2 linked regions of the Bombyx mori genome follow. The protein of the gene in region 1 interacts with the protein of each later gene in a pairwise test. Links are inferred from orthologs where the notes say so. Each region holds a gene or a part of one and is shown in the gene's direction. Other genes may lie near its edges. The genes, in order: PAH and RpS10.

Region 1 (16,363 bases):
CTCCTTCAAATCATTCAATCCCGTTTTTGCAGGATAGCCGTCAGAGCACCATGGTTCGTGAGAAACGTGGATATCCTTGATAGTATGGAGCTGGACTCTATCAGTAAGTATCTTCAGTCAGCATCAGTGCGCCATTTCGAGAAAGCGGCACGACACGGACACCCTTTTGTCCTGGCCGCGGGTAAATACATACCCGATCTTGCGAATCGAATGGTAAACAGTTGACTTCGCCCTAAGCACGTCATTACGGATCCTCCCGATCTACTGTGCTTTTAGGTACCTCAAGCACCGGTCACCGTTCTCGTCGAAACCGTTGCTTGCAACGGAGGGTTCGGCGAGTAAATTAACCCAGAGACACAGCCCACTGAGTTTCTCGCAGGTTCTTCCCAGTGGGTTGCGTTTCCGATCCGGTGGTAGATTCTGCGAAGCACTGCTCTTGCTAGTGTTAAGAACGTCCCAGGTTAGAGCCCCGTGAGCTTACCTATTCGCTTGATGACGCTGGCATAGCCCTCTAAGGCTATCAACATAGATAGAAAAAAATATTCAAAAAGTCCTGTAGCTAATTCAATACAGGGGTCCATTATTCGTGTCACCCATCCAAAATTTAATAAATCTGTTATCACAAGGTTTTATTGCGCAGTGACTTCGAAGGCTTCGGAATGGCTTCTTTAAGAAGTTGGTTCGTATTTGAGTCAACAAGAAACAGATTATATAATAACATAGAAAAAAATTGATTCTCGTTAACAGCATTTTCAAGACAAGCTTGCGTATATATTTACAAGTTTCGAATAACATTATACATTTTCTGTTCACTTTGTAGACGTCGCCCTATACACGTGTTTATAGAAAACAATATAGTTAATTACATGCTCTGTGATAATAACCGCTATAATAATACTAAGCAAAAAACCATGTTTCCATATTTGAGCATGAATTTTAGTTACGAGCAACTTTTAGATACCTCTGTCAGACGTCATAGCTATATAAATCCTTTTGAGTTTCTTTTGGGCCTCCTGGTCTTCCGGTTTCTCCTGCACTGGTTCGGGGACAGCGGCGGCGTCTTTCTTATCTTTGCTGTCCACAGCCGCCTTTATCAATCGAGAAGATTCGTAGAACTTCCTAGGGCCATAACCGAAAGGCCTCGCTGCTTGCAGTTCGCGTTCTGCTTTTGTAAACCTGGGATATCACAAGGCCGCCATAAACAAAGGAAAAAAACCGATAAGGAAATGACTGCTTGTGTCCTGTTAAGGTATTTAACGTCATCTGCACGGAAACAAAAAGTACAACAGTAAGTAGTACGATTTATAAGAAATCAATTTTAAAACAGAATCTCTCTTAATGTTGATCTTGGGTTATTTTTTTACTGCGACGACATAATATGAACGAGCTCATGACCCATCTGGTGTTAAGTGGTTACCGACCCCTAATACATCACAACGTGAATGACAACTCGAGACTTAAGGTAAAGTATTTAGTAATGACGCATATTACAAATTTTCCTGGTTTGGTTTTTATTACACGATGTTATATCTTCATTTTTGGAGTCATTCACGAACATGAATTATTACGTATTTCAACAGTGTTTGGTCGTTGTCAGCATCTCCTCTATTTCTGACATTGATGATCACATATAATTGAGACCAAGCCATCAATATAGTGCGGATTAAGCAGTCGCTTAAAACAACATGGGCCGCAAGCTCGATAATGACCGTCCATCTAAACTTCTAAACCATCAAAAAACTTGTTTGATTTCTATTTGATTGAACAGGTTATGAACAGTATAAATCGTTACTAGTTCCAAATTGAGGATAATGTTTACTTGCTAGCGGAAACCATTTTCATAGTTTTGGTAATCTTCTGTATGTTTTTTATCGATTTTAATCTTAGGGACACTTGTTTCAACTGTACCATTGTGTGTTTGTTTTTATTAAAACTTTGTGGAAATGTTGAAACGATATCCTATTGATCACAATTTTGACACATAATGTCATTGTGTTGATTTCGAACTTTTTGTTATAATTAGGATTTTTTCAAAGAAAAATGTTCATTTATTTATTACATTTGTTGCGCTGCATGCATTTTTATGATGCAAGATTTAATTGCTGGATAATTATCATTAGAACTCACTACTTCCTCCTACTCACTTCTGTCGTGACTTTTTAACATTAAGATATTCATCATACAACAGAATTCAGATTGATCTTTTTTCTTATTGTGGGTAGTGTGGTTAACACTTCGCATGATCTATCTATCAGACTACAGGTCCAGTAACTTCTAAACATCAGGTCGGCAATGAGCTCATCTCTTCTTCTTTTTCTCCACCTTATCCCACTAGGCGGGGGTCGGCACAGCTTATTTTTCTCTTCCATTCTCTTCTATCAGCCGTCATTTCAACACTCACTGATGATGAGCTTGTATGCTGCAATGAGCTTATCTGCCTATAAGTAAGTCTATAGACAAGAAACGTACTGGTCAAGCTCATAGTTATCTCTGAGACAGTGCATACACTAGACGACGAAAAACTTACATTTCAAGCATCATATTCTATGATTAGTGAGAGATAGAGAGCTGTACTGGGTGAACAAGCAAGCCGTGAACGTGACCCTGGATTATTAATGTTCTCCAACACACATATATGTATATTAAATTGGTGCACTGAATATAACTTCAGTTTCCCGACTGTGTTGTGTTTTTATTGTCATGATTCGGTTCTCATGTGCCGCAGCAGAATTATCTAATTCATGTACTATATTATATACCTAATCAGGTCATAAATTCTGTCACGTGTTTAATGTAAAATAATTGAAACAAGTTTATTCATTATGTAACCATTCATATACCAAAATGAACTTAACAAAACATAGATTCTTATGACATTAAAGCTTATTCAAAATTACCTCCGTGATTTTGAATACAGGCCTTCAATTTGCGCGGCCAGTCGTCTATCGCAGCACGAACGAGGTGCATGTCAATATCGGCGGCTGCCTTAATCAAGGATGTCTTGAGTGACTCCAAATTAGGATGAGGCTTTGAGCACGCCTTTTCCTCCAAGTGTTGCCATATCTTGTAATCTAACGGATTCAAATCTGGACTGGAGGAGGGCCAGTCTTCGTGCCGGATGAAGTCGATTTTACGCGCCGCCAGTCAGTCTTGTGTGCTCTTCGCTCTATGAGCTGGCGCCGAAACTTGTTGGAATACCCAGTGCCTGTTATTGAACATGGTATGAGAAACAGGTTCCACGAGGTTCGTCAGGACTGTATTTTGATACACAACTGCATTCTTTTTTACACCTTTCTCACAAAAATGTACCTCTGTTAAGCCCCAATAAGAAACTCCCAACCATACCAAGAGCGAGGATGGAAAATGACCTCGTTGGACACGCGGAATACGGTCGCTCGCTTCTTCACTACTGTGTGCGTACATCTTATCATTTTGTTTGTTGTAGCTCTCTTCTACGGTAAAAATTTTTTCATCCGAAAAAAGAATTTCCCGATATTTTTTACCGCGTACCGCTTCAACAAAGCGCGGCATCTCTTCAGTCTCAGGTCCATTAGACGAGCATTTAAACGATGTCCTGTTTTTCTTCGATATGCCCGAAGCCCTAAGTCTTCATTTAACACCCTTTTCACCGTGGTTCTGCTTAACCCCATCTGAAGGGCCAACAGTTTCTGCTTACGTTTGGGATTTCTTTGAATTCGCGCCTTCACAGCTTTTATCACTGCTGGAGTCCTAACAGACCGAGGGCGACCACTTCTTGACCTGTCATCTACACTAGAGTCTTCATTGTATCGTTTGATGGTACGATAAACGAATCTTTTGGTTATATTCAAATTTTTCAGTATGTTAAAAATTTGAATTGGCGCGTAACCGCAACGATGCAACGCAATAACTGCAACACGGTCTTCTTTAAGCGTCCACTCCATATTTAAAAAAGAGTAAAATTCTAAAAGTATACATTTTTATTTTCATGAACAATTCGAAATTCGAATTCAATAAAAAAAATTGTGGCCAGCATTCTAAAAGAAAAGTTTTTACTGTGTGATAATACTTATGACCTGACTAGTTATATATTGAGCTTTGATGTTCATGTTCTCACTGTACACCGGCACACAGCATAATGTTGTACTGTTAAAACTGAGACCTTAGAACCGTATCTCAAGGTAGGTGATGGCATTTACGTTGTAGATGTCTAAGGGCTCCGGTAATCACTTAATATAAAGTGGGCCGTGAGCTCTTCCACCCACATAAGCAATAAATAAAAAATAGGCGCCCATCTTGAGATCAGAACGAATAGCTTCCTGGGAGCAGAAACGATCGCGTTTTAGTGATTGTTGTACGATATGACAATATCACTATAGTATTCGATAGATCTATTGGGCACATGTCGTGGATCCTCAGGTACAGACCTGAGCTTTCCAGTAGCCGTTCAACAAGAGGTGGGCCGTGAACTCCTGTCTGCTTCTACTCTTCTACGTCAATAAAACAAGGATGCTATGATTGTGGTCAAATTGCGAACAGCACTCAACGTCGAGGATGTGACGTGCCACATAGCTATACAGTTTAGTTAGTTATTTTTTTATTAGGCACACAATACACATTACAAGCTAAAAATATACATAAAAAACACAAGTAAAAAGAAACAAAATCTGGCTTGCCACAGTAGCAATGTGTGCACGACTAAACAAGACAAAGTGCTGAATTTGTACACAATGTTCCTTACAACTATACGACAAAACAACACGATAACGAAAACTAATCTAACATAGAATGTAAGGAAATAATTTTATTCACAATACACATTTAACAATTACACTACTTAACCTATTATTAACTTGGAGGATGCCCTTGAGCATTTTTATAAACGTCACTAACCTACAAGTAACAATATCCAACTCAGTTGACGACTTTGCTAGTTCGTTATAGTTGCGACACATTCGGGTAATTGGATTATAATATATTGTTAATATATGATATATTGTTATTATATTGTATTATTATATCATATATTGTAATTATTTAATAAAACATGAATCGACTTATTCAATCAAAACAAACAGAGGAAGGAAAACCGTGTTATGACGTCACTCTGTTTTGTGATACAGCACCTCAGAGATATAGCGGGCAGCTCGGCTCAAATGGATCCCGATGATTTTGTTTGTCTGCAGGCAATATCAATAGTGCGCTTGTTCCGCTCGTGACTTCCACAAACGTATGTATGTAGTAGTTCTACCGCAATATTAGTTCCGTGTTCGTATGCTGGGACAGTACGTCCATTTATTAGCCTTTTTATTTTAGTCCTTTTATGTATTACTAGCGGCACGCTCCGGCTCCGCTCGGGTCTTTTACAAAAATTTCAACGATATTTGACGTTGTTTTTAAAAATAAAAGAACACTTATTGCGGCATAACTCTAATAGTTAGACATAATATGCTGTCCTGACACTTTTTGTAAACAATAATGTGTTCTACAATTATTACATTATTTTATTCTATCACTAATAGTTTTCGCAGGTCACGCGATGTAATGAATATTTTAGGTATTTTTTTTACACCTTGGGTTACATTATTGGAGTTTTAGTAAGGATAATCCCCCATTTTTCAAAAAAGATTATAGCATATGTCACTCGGGAATAGTGTAGCTTCCAAACAGTGAAAGAGTTTTTCAAATCGGTTCAGTAGTTTCGAAGCCTATTCAATACAAACAAACAAACAAATCTTTCCTCTTTATAATATTAGTATAGATGTTTCCGTCTATACTACATAATTTAAAAATTCAAACTTCGACGTCAAGAGCGAGAAATTTTTTAAAGTTAGATTTATTAAAGTTTTTAGATTTAAAATGTCAATTTGGTGCTATGAATATTAATAGCCAATGCACCGTTAGAGTTGATATTTGCGATTTTAAACCATATTCGAAGGACAGTAAAAGCCACTTAATCAAGTTTAAATATATTTTGTGTTTATGGAGTTACGTCACCGACTTATGAACAGAGATCTTTTAACAATTATATTCCAATTTAATTTATTGTAGGTCGGGTAGCTGTTAAATTGCAATGGAATATTCATCATGATAATCGACTCGGGTTAATGGGATTGGCTGGGATCAGGCCGCTCTGAGCTGTTTAAATCCTCACTATTTGTTTATGCTTGAATAGCTCATTATGTTATTACCTACGTGTATCTCAGAGCACATTGAGTATGTATCGGCTGTCGACACATCAAAACTGACAAATTTTCATTGCAATATAAAACACACAACACATTCAATACATAATAACTGTGTTACTAATATCCGGTTTTGCGTTTCCAATGCATCGAGTTTTACGCGGCGCAGTAGAACCACGTGCAAAAACTCATTATGACCTTCCAAACGCGAACCTGTTACAATTCAAGTAAAATACACAACGGGTTCTTTATGTTTAATGTAATTTCGATAGTAAAAAATCTTGCAAGGAAAACTTAATGAGAATAGAGATGATTAGTTCTTATGTGCATGGCGGCATTGGTTTTTACGTTTATTTTACCTAAATAATCTATGATAGGGGGCTAAATAAAGAGCCTAGTAATGTTTGATGAATGCTTAGGCCAACTCCATTTTGTCATAGGTACGTTGGATATTTTGATGTTGATTTTTATATTGGATATTTGCAACTTTGAATGTATTATAGTATTGTGGGGCCACTCAAGTCAGGTTTCGCTTCATCGGAATTCCAAACTTGTTTTTTTTTTTTTCGTCCGAAAAATTTACGCACGCCAACTTGTATGTATCTGTTTTTTACAACACTGGTTTTAATTTAATTTTACTGGTGGTAGGACGTATTGTGAGTCCGCACGGGTAGATACTACCACCAAGCTTATTTCTGCTTTGAAGCAGTAGGTAATGCGTTTCAGTTTGAAGAGTGAGGCAGCCGTTATATTGTAAAAACCGATACCTTAGAACTTATGTCTCAAGGTGGGTGGTGGCATTTACGTTGTAGATGTCTATGGGCTCCGGTAATCACTTAACATCAGGTGGGCCGTGAGCTCATCCACCTGTTTAAGCAATAAAAAAATAAAAGTAAAATAAAACAATATTTTAGATGAAAATCACAGTATAATCAACCTAGCCAAGAAATTTCATGTCTGGCCAAAATAATGGAACTCTAGAACCTTCAAACGCAACTTGACAGATCTATTGCAACGTTGTTTTTTATAAAGCACAACGATACACGAAGCTTAGCTCGACTTTTGGATGCGTTTATCAAGTCTTTGTGTTTGTTGGTGTTGTCATAAGTACTATACAAATTATTTTAAATATTTATGGCCTGCTGAACACTGATAGTTTTATTAAACCGGTATAATTTTGTTATTTCATTGGTTAGTCGTTTAAAACAACAGAGGTCAAATTATTTTGAAATAATAATATTTCAGTAAGCAATAAACAATACTTGCACACAAATAAAAAACAAAACATTAAATCCTGAAGTCAAAGGTCGTTTTAGAATCTAAACAACTAAACGTCGTAGATACCACATCCATATTTTACGAAGTCGAATAACGTCAGAGCGTTCGCATATAACAGGCTGCTAGTCGGCAAAGGTTTGTTTACATAAGTCACTCACGCTGAGAACACACGCCTCTTCCAGCAACAGAAAAAGAAATGGACATCACGGCGAAGCAAATTGAACAACCCACGTCTGGCTCGCCTCCCGACAAGGTATGAAATTGAATTAAAACTGATATTAAATATAAACATATCTGTCGAATTTTATGCAGGTAATACTAAAATTTATGAGCGCGCGCACTTGCTAACGTAGAATAAAAATATTAAGCGACTTATCAAACTGTTTTTGTTTCGTCTTATGACGACATTGGCTCAATCACCATCTGTCATTTATTTTATTCAGTAAATAGATCATTTAGATGTCGATTCTAACATATTTCTGTAAATAATAGTAATTAGCTAGTCAATGGAAAAGGTAATTACTAAGTTAACTTAAGTTTTTGACGTCGCTTATCAAATCTGGAGTGAGACAGGACATGTCACGGTAGCAAAAGTGTCTAAAGCTGGATAGATTCTGTCATTCCTGGCAATGTGGGTGTTCTCCAGTGGCGGGTGGTGCGTTAACAAACGTGACATGACAGAAACATGGAAAACAAAACCATAAAACATTCGGCAAAATTCACGGGGAGAAGCAAAGATTAAAATTCAAATCTAGATTAACGTAACGTTTCAAATAATTGGTGGAATTACAGTTTTATTTTTGAAACTCACTTAAACTGTTTTTTTTAAGTTTGTTACTACTTTTGTCCGTATTGATATAATATACTTCACCAATTTTTATTTTTCTCCTTCCTATAGATGCTTGCTGAATGGGATTTCTATATAAAATATAGTTAATCATTTATTTTTAGTGTGCATGGGACCACAAACAGTGCATGACATCAGAAAAGATGAAAAAGGTAAAACGCATGTTTAAACGCGTGTTTCTGATATTACAGCTAGGAGTGCTCTGATATTATTATATGCTTTGCTACTAACTGCTTTGGGATTTCATATTCTGACCTTTTTTTTTACGTTAAATTTTTTGTTTATGTTTTTTATTGTATGAGACTCAACGTTTTGAAGAAACACGTATATTAGGGGCAACAACAATAAAATGAATTTAAGGGTATTTAAAAAAAAAATTAACCTGTAGATATAAATTAGCAAATACAATGCTTAGCTTGCAACGACTGTTTACCTGTTAACTCAATCTTGACTAATCGAAATTTTGTTGAGCACAAATAACAATTGTATTTAACACTATAGTTGTTTTCCTGCTATTTGACATTACAAAGGGTACTTCGGTTCATACCTAATAATCGTACTTAAAATTTCCGACCTGATTGCAACCAGATAGGCAGGATTACATTATGCAAGGAAAAGTAACGGCGAATGCTTTTTTTGGCAATTACATAGATTCCATTAAATTTCATTGTAATAAAAGTGCAAACGAAATAGCGGAAGTATGTAGTCTTGTTTATTTAATGAAATTGATTGCATTACAATTGTTTTTAAAGTAAAAAAAAAACCGCTAGTGCTGAAGAAGAAATTTTTAATAGATTTGAGTAATTCTATGACCAAATGAATTAGAACAGCTTGAACAAGACTACGTTACCTGTGTTAGAATAAACAACCTCTAAATTTTACTTTTCTTACTATATTTCGGTGTTTATCTAACTACGCATTAATATGTATCTAGTAAACACGCAACCGGTAGCGTAAATTGATTTCAAAACTAAATTAAGACGCCAACTTAAAGCCATTGCAATTCTTGAAATTTTAAAGTAAGTTTTCCTCGAGTCAATCATTGAGGAGTAAACAATTTAAATCAAATAAAACACATATTTGAGTTTCATAGAAATTCCAATAACTTTAATTCACTTAATATTCGTCTTCTTCTTCTTAAGCATCACACATTGCTTTGTGCAGCGTGTGTGTAGGTGTGTTTTAAACCAGCTTGGTATTGCATTATTGTCTATTTCTTCCACCACACAATTGTGTATTTCAGCTTAAATGTAAAAGTACTATACAAGTTTAAAATTGCAATCGACAGCTTACGTTTACTTAGACCGGTGGCCTTCGAGCCTCTTCATGACTTTCGGTATTTGCACGTCATGGAGTAGTCATACTGCACAATTATTAATCTTAGTCAAAATAAATAGTAACTTTAAAACGTTACTAACGCTAAAAGTTTCAGTTTTGTCTGTCTGAGGCTAAACTTTTCTAACTTTTACGCAGTAACATTTTGCGGCGTCGTTTCGCATAAAATTTATCTACAACGATTATAAAATTAAATTAAAAATAAGAAAACCACACGCAATAAAAACAAAACATTGCTTTTATTGTTAAAAACATTGTGATAAGCGGTGTAATTGCTTCTAGATAATATATGTGTATTCAATTAAAATATTTTTTTTTGTTGACATTTTGCGAATTGATTTAATTATCTCCATATCTGCTGATATTTTAGCGAATCGTAGCTCTGTTGATTCTTATTCGACTGAGAGAGACAGTGATGAATTTTGTTTTTTGGAAATGGATGTTAAGTTCGGTACTGTACCGGTCTTTATTGATTTACAATGTTAATGTACTCGCTTGTTCATCATTAATACATAATTAAGTACTTCTTTGCAACACTTCGATTGCATTTCGAAGGCAAAAGGTATCGCTGCAAACATTAAACTGATTTCTGCAATGAGATATGGAGAATGGATACGGAAATATAAAATGTGACCTTTAAATTTGACACGTTTGGAATTTAATAAGTAGGTATGTTGGATAAATGAAATGAATACTAAAGCTAAATCTATCGGTGGAAATGTTCAAGAAACCACACAATTTTGTTATTAACTGCATAAGTTTATTATAGGTTTGATGTCGGTGTTACTTTAATGTCTTTGATTTTAAAATTAACGACTGTTATATCAAAGTACCAGCGACCCGCTCTCGCTTCGCTTCGGAAACTATAATTTATTATTGATTTCTCCACTATTTAATGGATGTTATTATACATATAAACCTTTCTCTTCAATCACTCTATCTATTAAAAAAAACCGCATCAAAATCTGATGCGTAGTTTTAAAGATTTAAGTATACATAGGGATATAGGGACAGAGAAAGCGACTTTGTTTTATACGATGTAGTGAAGTATAGTAATCGGCAAACTTCTTGAGCAAATGACCTTGACTGCGCAGAAACGAATTTTAGATCACTTTGGTGGTGAGGGTGAGGCGCGACGGCAGGGGAAATCGTATCGAGCGCGTTATTGGTAGATCAGTTGAACCTTGCGTCCCGCACCGCGCCCTCATTCCGCTTGCTCCCAAAAGTACGCTTGCGTTCAGTGGAAAGTCTATCGTTATTAATCGTTAAGTTATTTGTTATAATTGCTTGTGGACTTTGTTGCCATTGCTATTTGTTGAGTGTTTGTTGATTTTTTATAAAACATACACTATGCCGTGACAAACTGGTGTAGTACTTAAAAGAAAGGGTAGAAAATTTGTGTACGACGTATATTGCTTCATTATAAAACAGGGGAAGAATGATATGGAAAAATTAAAACATACTTCGGAACCAACAAAAACATCAGTGAGTACTGTTAGGTGCATTATTAACGAAGCTAAAGGCTCTGGCTTGCTCGCCGTGTTTCGGACTCCGGGTAAGAAAAGATCAGGGAAGAAGAAAGTTACCGGAATGGATAGTTTCGTTCAATCTGTAATAAAAAGATGTAATCATAATAACTACATAACAAGCAGCGAAACTCCGTACCGTAGAAAGGCTTCGAAAAATTTAAAGAAGATATAAATTTTAATGGCTCGGAATGAAGCTTACGACGAATTATGAAAGAGCTAGGCTTCAGATGGAAAAAAAGAACAGAAAATAATCGGAAGCTGGTAAATGAAAAAAGTAACATTCGATTACTACGAATCGAATATCTTCAAAAAATAATTAATTATAGACAAAAAAAAAGACCGAATCGACCGAGTTGTAAACTACGCCGATGAGCCCTATGTCGACTCATCACGATGATAGCGACTCGGGTGATGAAAACAGTGATGATGATGATGGTCAAGATTATGATAACGAAAAAAAAATTACAAATACCAGCTTCGCTTCAACTGAACCAAGACCTGGCAACAGCTCTAGTTTTGACTTAATAGAAGGAATATCTATTTTACCCCAAGATTAAATTATTACAATTATTAACCTATATGTTTTGTTGATGTTCTAATAAATATATAAATAAATATATATGTTGATTTTAATAATTTAATAGCATTATGACGCAGAGTAAGTAATGTTTTTGCACGTGAGTGTACCATGCGCAAACTTACCCCCACTACGTCAACAAATGCTCAAGAAGTTTGCCGGTTATTATACCCAGATTGAATATTTTAAATTTTGTTAATTTACCAGGCAAAATATATCTAGAAGAACGAGTTAATTTTTTATTACTTTGGAAGTAGTCGACCTGCTTGTGACTCAGCTGTTCGTGACTGTTCATAGTTTAAAACCTCATAAACGTGAAAATAACCCTCTAAGAAAGAAAAAAAATCTCGTAAAATACTGTACAAACAAATAAACCGTTGAATGGACGTATCACTGATGACGACGACGCGGAGGTTATCGGACCTATTCCAGATTGACCTCCGAGAAATAGAACAAGAACCTTATCTATTTAATTACGAGCTCCCGATAACGCCGGATGTCACAACGATTCAACTGTGTTTGAATATTTCTCAAACTTATCACTTGTGAAGCATCCAAAAAGAATTAGTAAGGGTACAGTTAATCACGACGATACCATTGGCTTGTACAATTACTATAAAATATTGATCACGCCACTGCGTCTGTACATCAGACCAGTTTGATATTATGTCTTCGTTGAACACAAAAAAGGATCTAAGTTTTTAAATACATTCATAATATGTATTTGATCAATAGTATTTTAGGTGAGTTGTTCTCGAAACTGAAACAGCAGTTAACAAATTGATAGAATATCTACCTTTTCTATCATTAAAGTAAATAAGTTTGTTGTATCTGCGTATTACCTCTCCGTTCTCTTTCGTCCTTTTTCTATAGCAGAGCGCGTCTAACAATAGTGTAAAATTGTCTTATAGATTATTGTAACATTTTCTGGCATTACCTACTTACGAACCATAAGCTTTATTAAACAATTGAACGACACTTCTATACTGAAGAAAACTTAGACGTTGTATTTCTTGAGTTTGGTGGTGGATCAGCTTTTGCTTAGATAGGTTGGCCTAGTAGAGGCAGTCATTACGTAGTGGCTACCTAAATTAACATGTCATTAACATTGTCAACAGCCAAAATTGATGGAAGGTGGCAACTACATCCGCGAGGGTCGTGATTCTACCAAATCAACTTGGCTTCTGATTTCACCAGTCGCACCCGACGAGGCTGGCTCGTTAGCCAGATATTTAGGCATTTTCTCTTCTCATGGAGTCAACCTCAGTCACATTGAATCCAGATCTTCCACAAGGCGTCCAGGCTATGAGTTCATGGTTGAATGTGAACATGGTTCTGGAGATTTCGGAGCGGCCCTTGAAGAGCTGAAGAAGAATGTTGGATACCTAAATATTATTTCGAGAAACTATAAAGATAATCGATGTGAGTGCCTTCTCGTTATCTATTTCCATGACAAAATGACAAGATTGTAGAAATAAATTAATTTCACACTAACTCCTTTTCAAAAACAAACACAACGAAAACTTAATTTGCTAAAATACAAACTTTGATATCCAATCAAGCATTTATGAACGTTTCAACATATCGAGAAAATGCAATTCACTTATAAAAATGGACTAATTGTTTCAGCCGCTGTTCCTTGGTTCCCACGTCGTATCCGCGACTTAGATCGCTTTGCCAACCAGATCCTCTCATACGGTGCCGAACTGGACTCTGATCACCCTGGATTTACCGATCCTGTTTACCGCGACCGCCGCAAATATTTCGCCGACATTGCATACAACTACAAGCACGGAGAGCCTCTGCCTTATGTGGAGTACACCAAAGAGGAGGTGGCCACCTGGGGTGTAGTTTTCCGGAAGTTGACAGAGCTCTACCCCACTCATGCCTGCAAAGAGCACAACCATGTCTTCCCGCTGCTGATCGAAAACTGTGGTTACAGGGACGACAACATTCCACAATTGGAAGATGTTTCTAACTTTTTGAGAGGTTGGTAACAAGCAATTTGCTGTCTTACTTACAAATCAGTAAACTTGTAGCTGTTTCTACGTCATTCTTTGGAGTAAGCTTAATATGAGAACCAAAAATACTATAATTCCTCCAATACAATATGTGTGGAAACCAATGTTAACATTCGTTATCTTTTATCATCACCAGATAGCACCGGCTTCACTCTGCGGCCCGTGGCAGGACTTCTCTCGTCGCGTGACTTTCTGGCTGGACTTGCTTTTCGAGTGTTCCACAGCACCCAGTATATCAGACACCATTCAAGACCACTCTATACTCCGGAACCAGACGTGTGCCACGAATTGCTTGGACACGCCCCGCTTTTTGCGGATCCCGCCTTTGCACAATTCTCTCAAGAAATTGGTCTTGCGTCTCTAGGAGCTCCTGATGATTACATCGAGAAACTAGCCACGGTAAATAACTCAACAATATTGTTTAATTTTAGAATTTCAAGCTAAGGTATTTATCAGAATTTTAAAATGAAAATATTTGTAAATATGTTTTATGTGTTCCTTCGAATGGATATTATAATCAATCATTGTACTATCCTCATGTCAGTGCTTCTGGTTCACGGTGGAGTTTGGTCTGTGCCGGCAAGAAGGTCAACTAAAGGCTTACGGCGCCGGTCTACTGTCGTCCTTCGGCGAGCTACAGTACTGTCTCTCAGACAAACCTGAGTTGAGAGAGTTTGACCCCGAGTCTACCGGGGGTACCAAGTATCCCATCACAGAATACCAGCCCGTCTATTTCGTTGCTAACAGCTTTGAAGATGCCCAGGAGAAGATGATGTAAGTATAAACTCAAAATATAGTTTTTCTTAAATGTAGTTCACAAGTTTCACTAAGATAAAAATTTGATAATGCTTTTTTTCATTAAATCTGAACATAATATAATCATTCATAATAAATTTGATGTTAACAGAAAGTTTGCTCAAACGATCCCACGTGACTTTGGCGTCCGTTACAATCCCTACACGCAGAGCATTGACATTCTGGACTCCGCTCGCCAGATCAGGGTCCTGATGCGGGAGGTGCACCAAGAAATGGAGCTGCTGCTAAACGCTATGGACAAGTTGTAACGATGCAGATTAGCTTCTTGTTGTAGGTGGGACACTTATAGTTAATGACAATCATGACCAATGATTTTTAAAGAACTAACATTTTATCTTTTCAAGTTTTCTAAATTTACACAACTTATTTGTACACAACTTCAAATGATATTATTTGATAAGACATTTCAGTTAAGTGTAATAAAAAAGTTTTGATTGAGGTAATTGAACAATTATGACTATATTTGTGTGAAACATAAATTTAAAAAATTTCATTCTTAAATTATTAATATAATAGTTGTAAGTACATTTAGTATCAATAAAATAAGTATGTTTTAAGTACGTAGGTATATTCAGTCTAATCTATTAAAATTATAAGAAGGAATTAGTAAATTACGGATGTTAAGGAAATAATATAGTTTAAAAATTCATAAAATATAATACTTATAATTGACATGAATTACGCTAAAATTATATAGGATGTTGTTTAATATATAAGAATTGTGGTGTTTAAAATATTATATAACAATTAATTTCACATTACATATATAATTTGGGTATCACGAGCACGTATATCATATCTATTATAAACATTTTCAAGATAATATATGTAGATATGTAAGTACAGCTTAAAGAAAGAAACTTTTTAGAAACAAGAAATCTGGAATAAAAAAGAGAGAACAAATTATTTTTATTGAATTCAATTTTAAATACACGTTTTATTTCAAGTCAAATCTATTTGTCTTTTATAACTACTATTCTCGATTCTAAGCTTAAAGAAATATGAGGGAATTAAAGTTTTAATGAAATTTTTCATTTCATTTTACTGTCAGCAAAAAAGTTTGAATTTGTACTGAACAGAGATTCACTGAACGAAAGAAACTACGAAACGATGTTAAGGATAAATTCACTATGCGGAATTCTCGAGTCTGAATCATTCTGTCCAGGTATTTTCCAGGTTTAAATACGAGTTTACGATACTCTAATGCAACTTTCTATTCTACTCTCCATAGATGTGTCTAATCTACGCCATTTTCTTATTCGGTATAACAGGGTAACCCAATACATTTTCGAACTAGGAACAGTGTGGTGATATAATGTTATGTTTAATGTGAATTAACGTAAAATAAAAACCGCAATTTTAACCAACATAATATATTTAATAATTTGTTTAGAAATAAACTTAATTGTCTAGTTAGATAAGGTGACGAATCAACATTTTCGTCTTTATATTACTGATATAAATAAATCGATGCTATAATAAATTACAAAATGTTTTATTTACAGTGGTATTAATAAAGACTTTATAATTTTACTTTTCGATACTGAGCCTGAGGATTCAAAACAATTTTCTTCAAATGAACCTCTAAATTATTTTATTTTGTATGAAGAGCTTAATGAATATAACTGAGTAATATCTTATTGCCATCATTTATTTGGAAACTACATATCTCATACATGAAGAAATAATACAAAATATAGATCATTTTCTAATACACGAGTGAGCTATAAGAGTATATAAGTCTGGGTTTAGAAATAGGTGGAAAAAACACAATCTTCCCTATTGTATCTAGGTAA
Region 2 (15,956 bases), on another chromosome or scaffold:
GCGATCCCTTTTGATCCTGGTAATATAACTGCGTTTTTGTCGTATTCATTGGATGGAATTTCAAAAACATTAATATACGAGTAAAAATGATTAGAATAAAATAAAATGACAACTAGTTTTTTAATAATTTATCACACCAAATAAATTAAACTAACAAATAAAAACTTAATTTTAAGCTAATGCAGTCTATAAAGGCACAATTGACAAACAAAACACATTTTTCGATAAATAGCTTGTAACTATAATAAATAAATAAAAAACTTTTCCTACTTAAGTGTAGTTTTAACACGTTGTCTCTAATTTCAGTTTAAAACAGGTCGATTAATAAATTACACATTGAGTAGGTAGATAAAAATATTTTTGAGTTTTTCTTAACATTAATAAATTTTGAAGTCATAATGGAAATAAAAATAAGTCAGATAAATAATAAAGAAAAAAAATAGATTAAAGATTTCGTTCTCTCAATGGAGATATTGTTTGCATATTTTCTTTGCCGACTTTGAGTGATTTTCGCAAAACTGATGGAGATTTCGGAGTGTATTGAGATTGTTCCAAATCTTTTTTCAACTTGTCAATAATGGAAGATTGTTTAGCAACAGTCATTGTCAATTCTTCATTTTCTTGGCGCAGCAGTGATAATTCGACAACCAATGATTGCTGATCTTGTATCTGAAAAGTTAGTATTATCTTTATTTTTTTTTAACCAAAATAAGAAGATAAACCACAAAAATTGTCGTTAAACCAGAAGATGGTCGAGAATTGCCAAATTATTTTTAACGATCCTAATTTTACTTAAAATCCTTGAAAAGTAGTAGCTAACTAATTAATCTAACAACAAAAAGAGGTTTTTCAAAAATGCCACCTTGGCTAATATATTTTACCTGTTGCTGATATCGTTCATTTTCATTCTCTAAGCGCGACAAATCCGCAGCGGCTTGCGCGAGCAACACTCGTGATTGTTCTGCGGCCGCAGTGGCCTGGCCTGCATGCTCTGTAGCCATTTCGCACAATACACGCTTTTTCTCGACCTTGAAAAGTGTAATTATTAATATTTTTTTGTAATACACACATCGTCTTCTCGCATTAAAACTGTATAATCTCAAAACTTACTAATTTTACAGGAGTGTTTTAAAGGTTTAACATGTAATTTTTTTAATATTAATCATATTTGCAACAATTTTTTTTTTTTACCAGTTACATCATGTCTTTTAAAGTAAGATAAACGTATGTATTAATTTTGTTAATAGCCGTCAAAACATAGGTAAACTAAAAAAAAACACAAACTAAATTACGCTCTTTTGACAGTATTTATGAGAAAAATACTGGTGATACCAAATGTTTAAGCATATTAACTTAATTTCGAATATTTTTGGAAATTGTACACTTTTAATGCGAAAAGGCGACATATGCTTTATTCTGCAGCCTATTTATACTAAATAAATATACCTCTTCTCGAAGAAATTTAATTTGTGAATTTGATTCCTTTTTCAATAGTTCAACATCTTCAATGAGTTCATTTTTTATGGTTCCAAGTTCTCTGTATGCTTCTTTCTCGACATTTTGTAAACTTTCTATTAAGGTAACATTATGTTCCATAATACGAGTGTGTTCTTTGGTAAGGGCTGCTTTTGATTTTAGAATGTTAACTAGTGCTTCTTTATACTCATCACACTCTCTGACAGTGTTGTTTAGAGTATTTTTATACGTAGTTAATTCATTTTCTAACACTTCTTTTGCACTTGTTAACATCTGTACTTGGTCTTCCAATTGTTCTAATTCACTGTCAGATTCTCGCAATCGCAATGTTAAAACGTGTACAATATCTCTTGTTACTGACAAAGATGTTTCAAATTTGTTTTTCTCTTTGATAGCTTTTTCCACTGCAAGATTTAATTTATTCTTTTCATTTTCATAGTTAATAGTTTTCTCAATTAGCTCATCTTTTAAAGTCTTTATTTCTTCAATAAAATTAAACTTTTCAGTTGACAATTCATCTTTACAATTTTTCAAATTGTTCAATTCCTGTTTCAAATCGGAATTCTGATTGTTGGTTAAATCTAAAGTATATTTTAACTCTTTTATCTCTTGTTCCAAATATTGTATAGTTTTCTCTTGCTGCGAGCAATGCTCTTGAATGCTTTGGCTCCGCTCCTCAAACTGTATTTCACATATTTTAAGTTTTTCACTAGCAGATTCCTCAATTTGTTCAAGTTTCGCTTTCATTTCCTGTTCTTTAATAATCAATTGACTATGGAGTTGTTCTAAAGCCTCACATTTCTCTTTTAACATTTGGTTTTTCAAGGATTCAATTGATGCATTATGTTTTGTTTTAAGATTTTCTTGATCAACTTTACATTTACTGATAATGGCTTGTTTTTCTTCATCCAATTTAGTCTTTAGAGCTTCCAATTCTATTTTGTACTCTCTCCTGATACTTTCATTAGCTTCCAGTGCCAAAGCATGGTGTCCCTTAACCATCTCCAATCTCTGCTGTGTTTCAGCTAATGTTAATTCATTGCTTGTTAATTTTTCTTGTAAATCTTTACACAAACTATCTCTTACAGTGATCACTTCTTCCAGTGATGACAATTCCATCTGCTTATCATACACTTCATTGTCAAGTGCTTCACATTTTTTTTCAAGTTCAATAATCCTACTTCTCATATCATTTATCATGGCAGAAACTTTCTCAGCGTCTGTACCTTGAACAGCATTATGTTCCGTGTGGCAATTTGTGTTATTAATTCTAAGCTTAGAAAGTTTTCTGTCAATTTCATTGAAATCAATATTGTTATGAGATTGCCTAAATTTAGTTGCAAGTTCTTTTAAAATTTCTTGAAGTTGAGCTATCTCATTTTTGTAATCTTCTATTTGCTTGTTATACTCACATATGGTTTGGTCCTTATTTCTGAAATAAAATAGTATTTAATTATACTAAATAAATTTTAAGATCAAGTGAATTTATCAGCTAATTGAAATAATTATTTACAAGACTCACCTTATTTCAACATCTTGTGCTTGAACTAATTCATCCTGTGGTAATATTTTATTTTTGGGACATGTTAATGTTTTCTTAATGCTGCTGTTAGGAGCTTTGGTAATTTTGAAAGCTTTGGGCTGAAATTAATTAACTCGCTTATAATTTATATTATGTTTGTTCATATTTTATACACAGCAATTGACGACTTTTTCATACATTTCATTATAAAGACTGAACCCACAACTGCATGTGCACAGTAATGTGGTAATATTGTCACTAAGTTAAAAAACAATTACTACCTAGCCCATTGTCAAAAATTCTTTTAAATACAGTGAATAAGTACATGAGCTAGGGCATATAATGTTACAATTACTACAATTAATATTGAGCATTAAAATAATGCTGACAGTACCTTTTTTCCCTACATATTTACTGGTAGTTTAAGGGGCTATTCCAGCTTCTCGCAAACATGTTATAGTACCATATAGCTATCTACTCGTAGAAGAAATTTATAATAATTTTGCAAAGGAGTAGGCCAAGTATGTGGTATTTACATGTTTGTACCAAACAGGGAATTTGCAATAAAAACATAATGTAAAAAAGTTTAAACAGTACTTACTGTGGCAAATTTTAATGATTTGCTACTTTGGACACTACTACATTGAGACTGCCCATCGACTGGTCTAATAGAATTGAGTGTGTTACTGCGACTTTTGCACAAACTTGATGATGTCTTCGTATTAATTTTAGTACTTTCACTATCTAATTTCTTATGTACATTTGTCTTCTTTTGATTTTTCTGGGCAACTGGAATTTTAAAGCACTTTTAGAAACAGGAATCAATAAATTTATGGCTTTAACAAAATAAATTACAGTACATTTATCACACTCGCTGGTCTAGCTTAGTAGGTTGGATCGCTCTACTACCGAGTCCAAGTTCGATTCCCAGTCTGAGTCAGTAACTTTGTTTATTCGTGATACATATTCTTGACTTATAAATGTGTTTCCGGTGCCTATGGTATAGTAGAAAATTGTATCCGGGGACCGTTAAATGTGGAAAGTTTATTAGTTCTATTCATTATTAAACTGTAGTGAATAAACTTACCAAGTGGTTCAAACCGCTTAGCTTTTGAAAACATGCTGAATATATTTGAAGAATCGCGTTCTTCGGAAATAGTTTTCCGGAACGACGAGAACGATCTGTTAATGTATTAAATTATTAATGAATAAAATAGATTTCGTATTACATATGTATTTAATTAACTGTTTAATATATGGACAGTTAATTATAATACCTAGCTTATAAAGTTAAGAGAAGGAATTTGACTTGGACCGAAACCGAGAACTGAACAGAACTGCGATGTGGCGCGGGAAACTGGACGGTTGGTTTTATGCATTGACGCTTGGTAATAATAAACAATAATATCTATTCAACAAACGAACAGCTGCAACGAACCGTTAAAATACGTTCCGTGCCACGCAGAATCATAGATTTTAAACAATAAACGAGATTTAAAATCAGAAATCTAAGTCAAATTATTCGACTGTTTGATTTTGAATTCACTTTACATTACACATACATAGGGCATAATAATGTAAATCCTTTGATAGGGCATAAAATACTGCGTGGCAGCATCAAAATTTGAAATTAAATTTTTTATGTTATAAAATATTTAACTAAAGAGTTCATCATTTTTATCTGCAACATTTCGAATTTCGTTTTAACGTGCTTAAGTTAGAATTAGCGTCAATAAGGCAGCGTCATTGGCGAGCAGTTAAAATAGCCCCTTAGGCTACGAGCGAATAGGTGGGAGAAACGGCCGATGGGGGATGCAATTATATAGATAATATGTATTTTGAATTGAATTACAGTTGATTCCGGTATTGTTTATGTAATATTCCATTTCGATAAATCCTCTCTTCTCCCTCCCGTCGTGGCCGCCGGTAACTACATTCCTGATCCTGCGGACCGAATGGTAAACAGTCGACGTCACCCAAAACACGTCATCTCGGATCCTCCCGATCCACCAACGGTGCAGGTACTCCAAGCACCGGTCATCGTTCTCGTCGAACCCGTCGAAGGGCTCGACGAGTATATTAACCCACAGACACAGCCCACTGAGTTTCTCACCGGATCTTCTCAGTGGGTCGCGTTTCCGAGCCGGTGGTAGATTCTGCGAAGCACGGCTCTTTCGAGGGTTCGGGTTAGCAACAACGTCAGGTTTGAGCCCCGCGAGCTCACCTACTCGGTCGGTGACGCTGATATGGTCTTGAGAGAATATCAGCTTAGGTAAGAAAAAAAATGTAAAATTGTAATTACGTACATTTGTGTTATGTTGTGGCGCCACGTGTCTGGTTGTAGTGTTGACCGCGGGAACCCCCTACTCTGACGGGTTTTGACCCCGGACGGAGATCGGACGTCGGGTGTAAGAGTGCAGGGGAGTTGTTTAGTGCGGTAGAGCCCTAAAATTCCTTGGGCCCGCGGTCTGCTCCCAACACCTTGCAGATCGTCAAGTCCCACATACCCCGCGCGCCCCCAAGGCGCGGGAACCTCGTAGGAGGTTCGGCCTCCGCGCCGAAAAAAAAAAGGTAGTGAGTTTGCGAGGTGTATTAGTTGTTTATTTGAAAAGAACCTATAGGTAGTCAAGCAAGAATGATTATTATTAAAATGGCTACATCAAATTTTGCCGATTCATGTTCATTTTACCAACACTGAGTTTTATTTTATTTATTTAGTAGTTATTACTATTTAATTAGTACCATAAGGACGGGGTAAGATTATTAACTTGCGACCATGAGTGTGTGAAAACGATTTGTAAAAGACATAGACAAAGATAAGTTGTTCAAATTGGAATTGAGATATTTGTACGAAATTGAAAAGAAAAAGCTTTTATCATAGTTATGACATATATATCTTTTAATGAAAAACTCCCTTTTTATTACCATTCTAAACACTTTTTTTAAATAACATTTAAACACACCAAGGAGGTAGAACTAGGTAAACCCAGGACTGAAGTAATATGTTCCTACTAAGGATTCTTAAGAAAAGTCATCATGGTCAAGAGGATAAGATACCCAACGCATTCCTAAAAGCTACATTATTATGCTAATCACACTTCCTACAAACTCAAAGTAGGTATCAAAAGACTATTTGGAATGCAAGCTCACATCCTACATGGCATTAAGGGTTACTTACTGGTGACCTATTACAGGAATTGAAGTCAAGACACAATCGTTAGCAATAATTTTTTTTATGTATATTGGAAATTTTTGTATTTTCGTTTAAAAACATCTTGACATTAAAGTACAAAAAGACCATAATTGAACAGAAAAGAGTGTTAATTAATGAAATTAAATTAAATGTATGTCAAAAACTTTATTGGAAAAATATCAACTAATTACATAGAGGGTGGTGGTGGGGGCACTGGTAATAATGGTGGTGGCGGTGGTACTCCCAACATCGGTGCTCCAGGAGGTGGAGGCAACCTCATGCTATGACCCTCCCACATTTTGGGATGGGGGGGAGGCATGCGTAACTGATCCATCTTAAATGCAAACTGCAAAAAGAACTGCTTTGTGTCCTTGTTCCAATGAGTCCAGAATTTTGAATCATGCTTTTCAACTTCTCTGCTAGGGACTTTAAATGCAATAGTTTCATAAGGCTCTGCTGCAAATAACAAATACTGCCATCTGCGGTCTGGAGGCTCAATCTTCTGTTCATAAGCAGACATAAATCTATGTCTAGGTATAACACCCTCTGCAATCTCTAAAAAAAATATTACACAGCATTTGAATATCTGTTCCTCTTTTTAGTATGGTTAATAAGAATTATTTCATCTAAATGACTTAAAATAAATTTTAAAGAGTAAAAGATTAGAAATATAATAATTGTAAAAGAAAACCTATTTAAACTACTTTTATTTCAATTTCACTTTTCATAATCATTGAAATGACTGTACCTGGATAATCTACTTGGAAGAGCAAGCTCTGCTGTCCAGTTTCAGGATCTTTCTGTTTTGTTACTCTGTAACCAGGTCTACCAATCTTCACAAATTTCTTAGGTTCAATTCTAGGTTTTTCCGGGGCAAGCTGTTGAGGCGCTTCTTTGGCTTCCTTTGCAGCTCTACGTGCCAAATTGGCTTGATGCTTCTTCCCTTGCGTGTGAGCCAAATAACTTCCCTCATTGTTATGCAGGGTTAAACAAAGTTTACATTCATAGGACCCTAAAAATGAAGTTTACGTTTGTGAAGTGAACGAGGTTAACATGTTGAAGTTATAACTAACGTTTATTACTCACCTAAATGATTTTTCATAAAATATGGATCTTTGTTTAAATCTATTGTTTCTAGTGCAAGCTGTCGTAATCTCTCCCGCCGGTCTCTGTTACTTTCCGACCATGACGCTACACCTCCTCCACCAGTTTTACCGCCAGGGCGATTTTGAAAATCCATTTTAATTAAAAGTAACACTTATTTTAAGCTTAGAATATTAATTGTCCAGTTGACAAAGTAGTTAAACTTTGACATTAAATTAAATTGAAATTCGTAGTCTGCTCTGTAATTAATATAACCTAACATGACATTTGATGACATGAATTGATTTTTTTTAAGGGATTTTATGACCTGGTTACTAAGACCTTTAGGTCAAGTCTTATTTTAATTTTAATGAAAACTTTTCTCTATATGGGCCGTTTTCCAATTACAGCACAAGAGCGCATTATACGGCATAATGCTCAACTAAGCTTCCGCATAATTCGGCATTGTGCGTCACTGAGTCGGATTATTCTGTGTAATTAGAAAACTACCATTAAATAATGGTAAATGGAAAACGGCCATGAAAAATGATATTATGAAATGAAATGAAGTTGATTATTAAGAAGCATGACATGAATCGAAACGAAACGAAATCTGTAATCTGAGACTTTAATCAATTGGGATGAAAGTAAATGAAGTAACTGATAAATTTTCTTCATTTTTTATGCTACTACAAACGATATGTTGACTACAAGCAAAATCTGCTGTAGTAAGCGCTTAAAGTATGTCTCTTGTACGAGTATGAAAAGTTAGTCGGACACTATTTAATGGAAATAAAACAACATGGATGTAAAACATTTGTAGGTGTTCAATGAAATTAAATGAAATAACCTCATTTCGACGAAACTCACTTTAACACATGCATGCACGCGCGCGCTCATATAAACACACACACAACATCTCATTGAATTTCGTTTCCTTTAGTCATTTCATTCCATTCATTCCAATTTTACATTTCAGTTAATATTCATATTATGTCTTCCCTACAAAAGATTTGGCTGTATGAATTCAAAGTTGATGATTGTCGATTGATTGCTATTTGACAGTTGACAGCTTTCAACAAACTTCCCTTCAATCCCCTTGCTCTTTTCTGTGTTAAGTTAGCCTACAGGTAGTACAGTTTTTCTTATAAAATCGATCTTAAATACATTAATCAGTGCATATTACTTATTATAAGTGTTATAAGTGAAGAAAAAAGTTATTGCGTAATCTTGTGATGAATATATTTCAAGAAGTGCTACGTTTTTTTCACTTGTATGTCTTAACCCAATAATTTGTTGTTTTAGGCGGCTTTCAAGATGTTGATGCCCAAACAAAACCGTGTTGCTATTTATGAGTACCTCTTTAAAGAGGGAGTCATGGTGGCCAAAAAAGACTATCATGCACCGAAGCATACTGAACTAGAGAAGATTCCTAACCTCCAAGTTATCAAAGCTATGCAATCACTCAAGTCCAGAGGTTATGTCAAAGAACAGTTTGCCTGGAGGCACTTTTACTGGTAGATATTTATTATGTTTCATGTGTTGTCTATTATTTGTCGTAATTTTCATAGATTTAATGTAATGATACGATTCTCATAGAATTCTGTATCAACTACACTAATTTAATATAAACACTAATATTTTATACCTTTTAACAATTTGTTGAGAATGTTAAATATTGAGATTAACTTATATCTGTCAATCAATGTCTGTTGTTTAGGTGTGCAATAGAGTACACATTAATAATAATATGAATTGTTTGGCGCATTAAATTAATTTCACTAATAACTTTTTTTTGTCAACCAAAATGACGAATCTGAAAAAAAAGCTGCTTACCTTCAGAGAAATACCAACCTTTAAACATCTGATGTTGTTGATTTTAGACATTTTTGTTTAGATCACTTACCTTTTCAATGGATTATTTAATTCTCATATCGTGTCTTGTGTGGTGTCAACCCGTAATATCAACACTGCATCTCTTCTGGATTTCATAAATTGCAACTTAAGGTTTTAGTGAAAAATGGATATTGGTGTTCTCTAAGTGTTCAATCTGAACTCTACTGGTATTGGGGTATTTTGTAAACCGCCTTTGTATTCCGGCTTCATCTGGGTTCCAGTTTGAGGGGAGGGGGACACCTGTTGCACTATAAAGTTGAGACTGAGCTCATGTCTTAAGGCAAATGGCATTCTTGTTTATATTTATGGGATCTAGTGACCCCTAAACACATCTGGGCACTAAATAAAATCTACTATTTCTTTGTCTAACCTTAATTTTTATAAATATTTTTTCTAAAATTTTCTTCAGGTACCTAACCAATGAGGGTATTGAATACTTGAGAATATTCTTGCACCTTCCTCCTGAAATTGTGCCTGCAACACTTAAGCGCTCAGTACGTACAGAGACAGTACGCCGTGGCCCTGTTGGTCGTCCTGATGCCCCAGCCCGCTCTGCTGAGGACAGATCTGCATACAGACGTACTCCTGCTGCCCCTGGTGTTGCACCTCATGATAAAAAGGCTGATGTTGGTCCAGGCTCAGCTGATCTTGAATTTGTAAGTCCTATATTGTTGTGCCGTATAATTGTAGACTGGATTGAAAAGTTACAAGCACCTGAAACATACAGTAGACTTCAGTAAAATCTACTCCTGTTATCCGACATGCTTATAATATGAAAATACAAATTTATTTTTGTAATTCTTCATTAATGTGTTTGAACTAGTTGTATTGTATGTATATTAACTAAATATGTTGGATTACCTGGTACTCTTTTCGAAAAAGTTTTAGACTTTTTAAGAGGGTCTGTGACAATATTTTATGATCTGAAACAATCCTGAAATATGTTTATCACATAACTACAGGTCCCATCGGGTTAAACCAACAAAATTTGCTTGTTTTGTTGAGAAGAAAGCATGTCTGAAACCAGTTTTGTTGCTTTGTGTTTTATTATATTTAAATATTAATTGCCTAAATTATTCAAAGAAAATATTTCTATTTGCAGAAGGGAGGCTATGGACGTGGCAGGCCTGCTTCATAATTTAAGCAATAAAAAAACTTAAAATAAGTCAATGGTGTTTTTTTGGATGGAACTAAGTTTTGTATTTAAAAATATATATATTTCATAATATCTGATTGTATCTGAAAGTACTCTGATGGTCTGCTGAGCCCTATCTTACTGAACCATTCGGGCCATGAGGATCACCCATCACTACGTAAACACTTCACACGTAACCTACGTAAACAAGCTACAGATTGCAGCTATAAAACAAATCGCGTACGGAAGTGAGCCGCGCGGCCTTTAACTGAGCCAAATGTCTTTGTTTTCAAATCCAATAGAAAGTTTTAGTTATTTTAAAATGTCTTAAGAACTAGGCGCTAAAAGTTGCTAATTGTTACCTTCCGTGCAAATTATCGAATTGAAGTTGATAAAAATTACTAATTCCCTGATTTTGGCTTGGCCTGAATGGTATAGTACACTAGGCCCATTGGTGGGCCACAGCATTCAGCATGTTAAGAAACTAGTGTGAGTTCCTTCTCAATCCTTGTGAGCAATATAGTAGTACTTAACTGCCTCATTGATTTGATTAGTGATTCTTGCATATACCGTGAGCTTATTCTAGTGGTTGCCCGATCACCGTCCTCGTCGAACCCGTCGCTTGTGACGAAGGGCTCGACGAGCGAATTAACTCCGACACAGCCCACTGAGTTTCTCGCCGAATCTTCTCAGTGGGTCGCGTTTCCGATCCAGTGGTAGATTCTGCGAAGCACGGCTCTTGCTAGGGTTCGTGTTAGCATCGTCGTCAGGTTTGAGCCCCGTGAGCTCACCTACAAACGTTAGGGTTACGCTGGAATAGCCTCTCAAGGCTACCAGGTTAGGTAGGAAAAAAAAAAAAAATTGCTGTTCGTTAGTCTCGCTAAAACTCGAGAACGGCTGAACCGATTTGGCTAATTTTGGTCTTGAATTATTTGTGGAAGTCCAGACAAGGTTTAAAAGGTAGATAAATATGAAAATGCTTGGAATTAAATAAAAATAACAATTTTGTTTTTTTATTTCCCCCCCGTCATACGGATTTCTTTGGTTTGTTTTAAGTTTATTTTATACAAAAGCTTAGGTGTTTTATTTAACAATGGAGGCACTACGAAGTCTGACGTGTCAGCTAGTAATTTATAAAAATGTTGTGCGAATTACCCAAAATGTTAAGTGTCAAATAAAAAGGAAAAAACTGCCATGTGCGATCTATTTTTGAGTGCGTCGTAAAAACCGTTTGAGTTACATATACCATAATATGTAAAATGGAATTTTTTATCATATAACTATCGTTTATTTGTAAGCCATTATCGCCAATATAGTGGACCATTAATTTAAGAAGACGAAAGATTAGATTTTTTGTTTATTACCTACGTTCTTTTTTTAATGTTTGTTTCTGTCAGGACCAGATTTGTATAAAAGAATATTCAATAAGATCAATAATAAATTACAGTCCTCGAAGCGAAGACAGGGCGGGTCGCTAGTTTCTTAATAAAATCCAAAGCATAATTATTTTATGAACGTAATTTATTAAACTTTGTCTACACGCCCATAAAGTTTATCCAAGAGGTAGCTATTATTTATAAAAACAATTCAAGCTGAGTAAACTGGTGGAGGGTCTGGTTTCGGGAACTCTCCAAGCCGATCCATGTAGTACTGATGGGCGCGAAAAGGTTTCAGTTCCCACGGAACCTGGTCTTCCATGTGCGTCAAGGTGACGCCCAAATCCTCAAGGGTGGGCACGCCGATCACCACATTATCTGAAGTAGCTTCCTGTAATTCAAACCATTACATTATTTCGACTTTTTACAATGTCTGAAAATTCAAAGCGTATTTTGTGTGATATGCGCTGCGTTTCACAGAAAGGAGTGAAAATTTTAGTTACATCTATAATTAAATTTAAATTTATTAATAGGGCCGTACAGCCACGCTGTCATTATCATTTAATGATAATGTTTTTCAGAATATTGATTTGCAGACATTATTCGTGCGACACCTGTCTAACGTTGGTAATACTATGAAATACTAGCTGTACCCGTCCGCTTCGCTGGGCATTTAAAATTAACATTATTTCTCACACCCACAAAAATTCTCATCATTAACGCCCCCGCAACTGGTGTAGGGAGTCCAACACTAATATAAATATTAGCCTATCCATTAAGTACATGTACTTTCTACATGGATACCAAGTTTCAAGTCAACCGGATGCACAGTCCAGTAGTTATAACGGAACATCCGTAAAAACCACTGTAGATTTATATATTAGTATAGATTTCCTGAAACATGACAGTCATCCGGATAAACCAAATATTCTAATCATATATAGAAGATATATATTTTGATTGTATCAGATAAGTTAATTTTAATTACCCTTTCAATTCCTTCCCAGTGAAGATTTCCGAGTGGATAAGCTGGTGAAATGGCATTAACCAAAGCAACTTTCAGGGGCAGTATCGGGTCGTACTTCATGTCGTAGCGAATGTATCCACCCCATTTTTCGTCCTTCCTCATTAGTTTGTAAAACCAATCAACCAAATCGGCAAGTAAGTAGCGTTTTGGCCTGAAAACACATTAAGGATTTAATTGTAACGTATTTTTTTTTGTTTTGAACGAACTCACGACGCGCATGGTGTTAAGTGGTTATTGGAGCCAATACATCATAGCACGAATGTCGCCAAAAACCTTGAGTCATGAGGTCTTAGTCTCAATTGTTTAGTATAACAGTTATTCCAATTACGGAGTCCCATGAGACAGATGTTACTATTATGTTCTTGTGTGTGTGAATTAATTGTGTAATGATTTAGATTCATTGTGTATTTTTTTAAATGATGTTTACGACAATGAACAAAAAATGATTATTATTTCAAATTATGCGAAACGTAAAGAGTTATGCCGGCCACTCACATGCGCGCAAACATTCGTACAACATTCGTACATTCGTCAAACGTTCATTCGCAAACTTAGCGGCTGTGCAAATGGGTTCGGTACTCAATTTGCGAACCCGTTTGCGCTTCCTCCTACACTTGTTTACGAATGTCTCACGAATTTCTCCTCCTTTTTAATTCGTCAATAGAACATTGAAGAAAAAAAGAGTTTTGAATTATTTCCCAGATATCATTAACAGCCATGCTGTTTTTATGGGATTTCTTTTGATGAAGATACGCTACACAGTAGACGTCACGATCTATGAAAATAGCGAAACGTCCGTTGCCTTCGCAATCCTGGGCGCAACTGGTCACACGAATGTGTGGGAGACTACGCGAGGTTCGCGGTTCGCGCGCTTTGATGTCTGTTAAAAAACCGACACAGCTTGGAAAACCACTAATGCAGCGAAAACTTTGCATAATCATTTGCAAATGTCGTCCTACACTTGCGGGTTTGCGTATTCGTGCGCATGTGAGTGACCGGTGTTACGTTCTAAGAAGTTTCAAAAGGGACTTCGTAATTGGAATAGAGTATAGCTCGTCCTTCAAACCAGAAAACAAGACTGCTGTAATTGTAAACTATTTGTATTCTGCGTTTAATATTTAAGATGGAACTCACCCAACGGCTTGGTAGACTTCACATTTAGTGTCGTCGTCGCGCGCGGCGTTCACGATACCCTGAGCGACGTCCGACACAAACACAGGCTGTTTCACAGTCGCTAATCCGTTTTTATAGAGGGGCATCAGGTTGCTGTGAGATCGCATCTTATTAACTAATGACCTGAAAATAGTTGCAGTATATCGGTATAGTTCGGTAGGCCCGTCGACATCCACGACATGACGGTGACACTTCGTCTTCTCGCATTAAAACTGTATAATCTCAAAACTTACTAATTTTACAGGAGACTGTTTTAAAGCTTTAACATGTGATATTTTTAACATTAATCATTTTTGCAACTTTTTTTTTTTTTTACCAGTTACATTATCTTTCTTTTAAAGTAGGATAAAATTATGTATTAATTTTGTTAATAGTAGTCAAAACATGGGTAAACTAAAAAAAAAAGAACTAAAACTAAACTACGCTATTTTGACAGTACATATTTATGAGAAAAATACTGGTGATACCAAATGATCCGCATATTAACTCAATTTCGAATATTTTAGGAAATTGTACACTTTTAATGCGAAAAGACGACTTGTAAGCAGACGAGCAAACAGCCCACTTGATGGTGAGTGGTTACCGTTGCTCATGGATGTCAGCAATGCCTCAGGAACAATAGAGCCGCGAAGTATCGCTGAGTACTCGTTTGAAGAAAGATTTGTCATAGCGCTCAGGATACATTGAGCAGGGGAAATAATTCCGAGGCCGCATAGTTAACTACTATAAAACCCCGTTTAACGCTGTTTCGGTTTAAAGCTCTTTGATTTGAATTCTAGGAAAAAGCATTACACTAGATACTAAAATACAAGTAATTAGAAGTTTAGATACTGGTGAATGTCAATCTCAAATTGGTGCTGCATTGAATTTTACAACTTCAACAATAAGGACTATTCTTAAGGTAGAAAATTGGACATACAGAAGAGACTGAATGATCTGAAAACATAACTTAATACTGACTTAGAATTTTATTTATTTTTATATGTATGTGTGTGTATACATTTGTTAAAAGTATCTTGTTGATTTATAGTTCTAAAAAATATAATTAATCATTTAAATCGTAAAATACCTGAGTAATTTTCTAACAATATTCCTGTAACCCCTTGTTGTACAGCTGTCCCACATTTCAAGTCTGAGAGCACCTACTCGCTTTTAATAGATGTAAGAGAAGATGCTTCGCTTCGATACCTAAGATGCTTCGCTTTAGCATTGTGAACAGTAGAAACGGAAGCTCATCATATATTACTTTTTGTTATTATGCCAGTTCTCATCGCATTAGAAAAATCGAATATATATCTTTTTAATTCATTTAATAATAAAAAAAATAGATGGACAGACAACGGATTGTTGTTGTGGTGTCAGGTAAGCCTATACATTTTACAGACACTCTTCCGTTTAGCTTTAATGGTGTGTTTTTTGTCTATATAACATTTTCACAATTGTGCTGTCTGACTTTTGTAGCTTATTCTTTAATTTTACCAAGAATTTTACTCAATCAAAGACAGAATATTTTGAGATAAAGCAACAGACCTATATTATTAGGTGATTCGATTCTAACCTCAAAAATCTGTCTTCGGAACCATAGATGTCTGATGCTCGGATAATAGTGGCAGTTGGGTATTCCTCTCTGACTGCACACTCTCCCAAATACTTGCTTATTTTCCAAGCAGACGGTTTCTTCAGGACAAGAGGTTTCGGATGTTCTTCAGCATTTAAATAAGACAGATGAATGAATCTCTCAACTCCTTCTTCTCTGCAGATTCTGTTGTAAATATTTATCCATTATAATATCGTATTTCATGACTAAACTATAATTTTGAGTACACATGGCTGATGCATTTTATTTCAAATCCGTTTAAAAGCAAAATAATTGAACATATTTATAATTTAATATTTTATTATTATTATTAACAGTTCAACTTTATTTTAGTTTTATATTTCTTTGATCTTTTGATAACAAAACAAACCTGGCAATTCTTCTTACACCATCAACGTGAACATCATTGTATTTGAAATTCTTAGTTTCATAATCTCGTCCAACTAGATTGATGACAACATTAGAGTATCGGACCGCT

What was found.
Region 2: the proteins of PAH (region 1) and RpS10 interact in a two-hybrid assay, tested with the Caenorhabditis elegans proteins (2 studies listed by BioGRID). The link is inferred for Bombyx mori from reciprocal best matches to the Caenorhabditis elegans genes pah-1 and rps-10.

Annotation. Positions count from the first base shown.
Region 1 is NC_085107.1:20,093,633-20,109,995, forward strand, and holds PAH (phenylalanine hydroxylase), read left to right. Parts: upstream 1-7,609; 5' UTR 7,610-7,638; coding exon 7,639-7,695; intron 7,696-8,393; coding exon of another isoform or gene 8,394-8,441; intron 8,442-12,848; coding exon 12,849-13,152; intron 13,153-13,359; coding exon 13,360-13,719; intron 13,720-13,887; coding exon 13,888-14,150; intron 14,151-14,295; coding exon 14,296-14,525; intron 14,526-14,658; coding exon 14,659-14,815; 3' UTR 14,816-14,848; downstream 14,849-16,363. Other genes in the region: ATP synthase subunit gamma, mitochondrial, read right to left, coding at 962-1,176, 1,820-1,911. UniProt on the Caenorhabditis elegans protein: Catalyzes the hydroxylation of L-phenylalanine to L-tyrosine. Catalyzes the hydroxylation of tryptophan to 5-hydroxy-L-tryptophan. Plays a role in the biosynthesis of a melanin-like cuticle pigment.
Region 2 is NC_085119.1:6,715,917-6,731,872, reverse strand, and holds RpS10 (ribosomal protein S10), read left to right. Parts: upstream 1-8,377; 5' UTR 8,378-8,404; exon of another isoform or gene 8,405-8,498; intron 8,499-8,579; 5' UTR 8,580-8,591; coding exon 8,592-8,791; intron 8,792-9,579; coding exon 9,580-9,826; coding exon of another isoform or gene 9,827-9,910; exon of another isoform or gene 9,911-10,272; coding exon 10,273-10,308; 3' UTR 10,309-10,335; downstream 10,336-15,956. Other genes in the region: uncharacterized protein LOC101737912, read right to left, coding at 445-669, 882-1,028, 1,447-2,908, 2,999-3,117, 3,600-3,787, 4,086-4,119; splicing factor 3A subunit 2, read right to left, coding at 6,379-6,746, 6,940-7,203, 7,278-7,431; NADH dehydrogenase [ubiquinone] 1 alpha subcomplex subunit 9, mitochondrial, read right to left, coding at 11,893-12,072, 12,670-12,859, 13,843-14,004, 15,440-15,643, 15,849-15,956.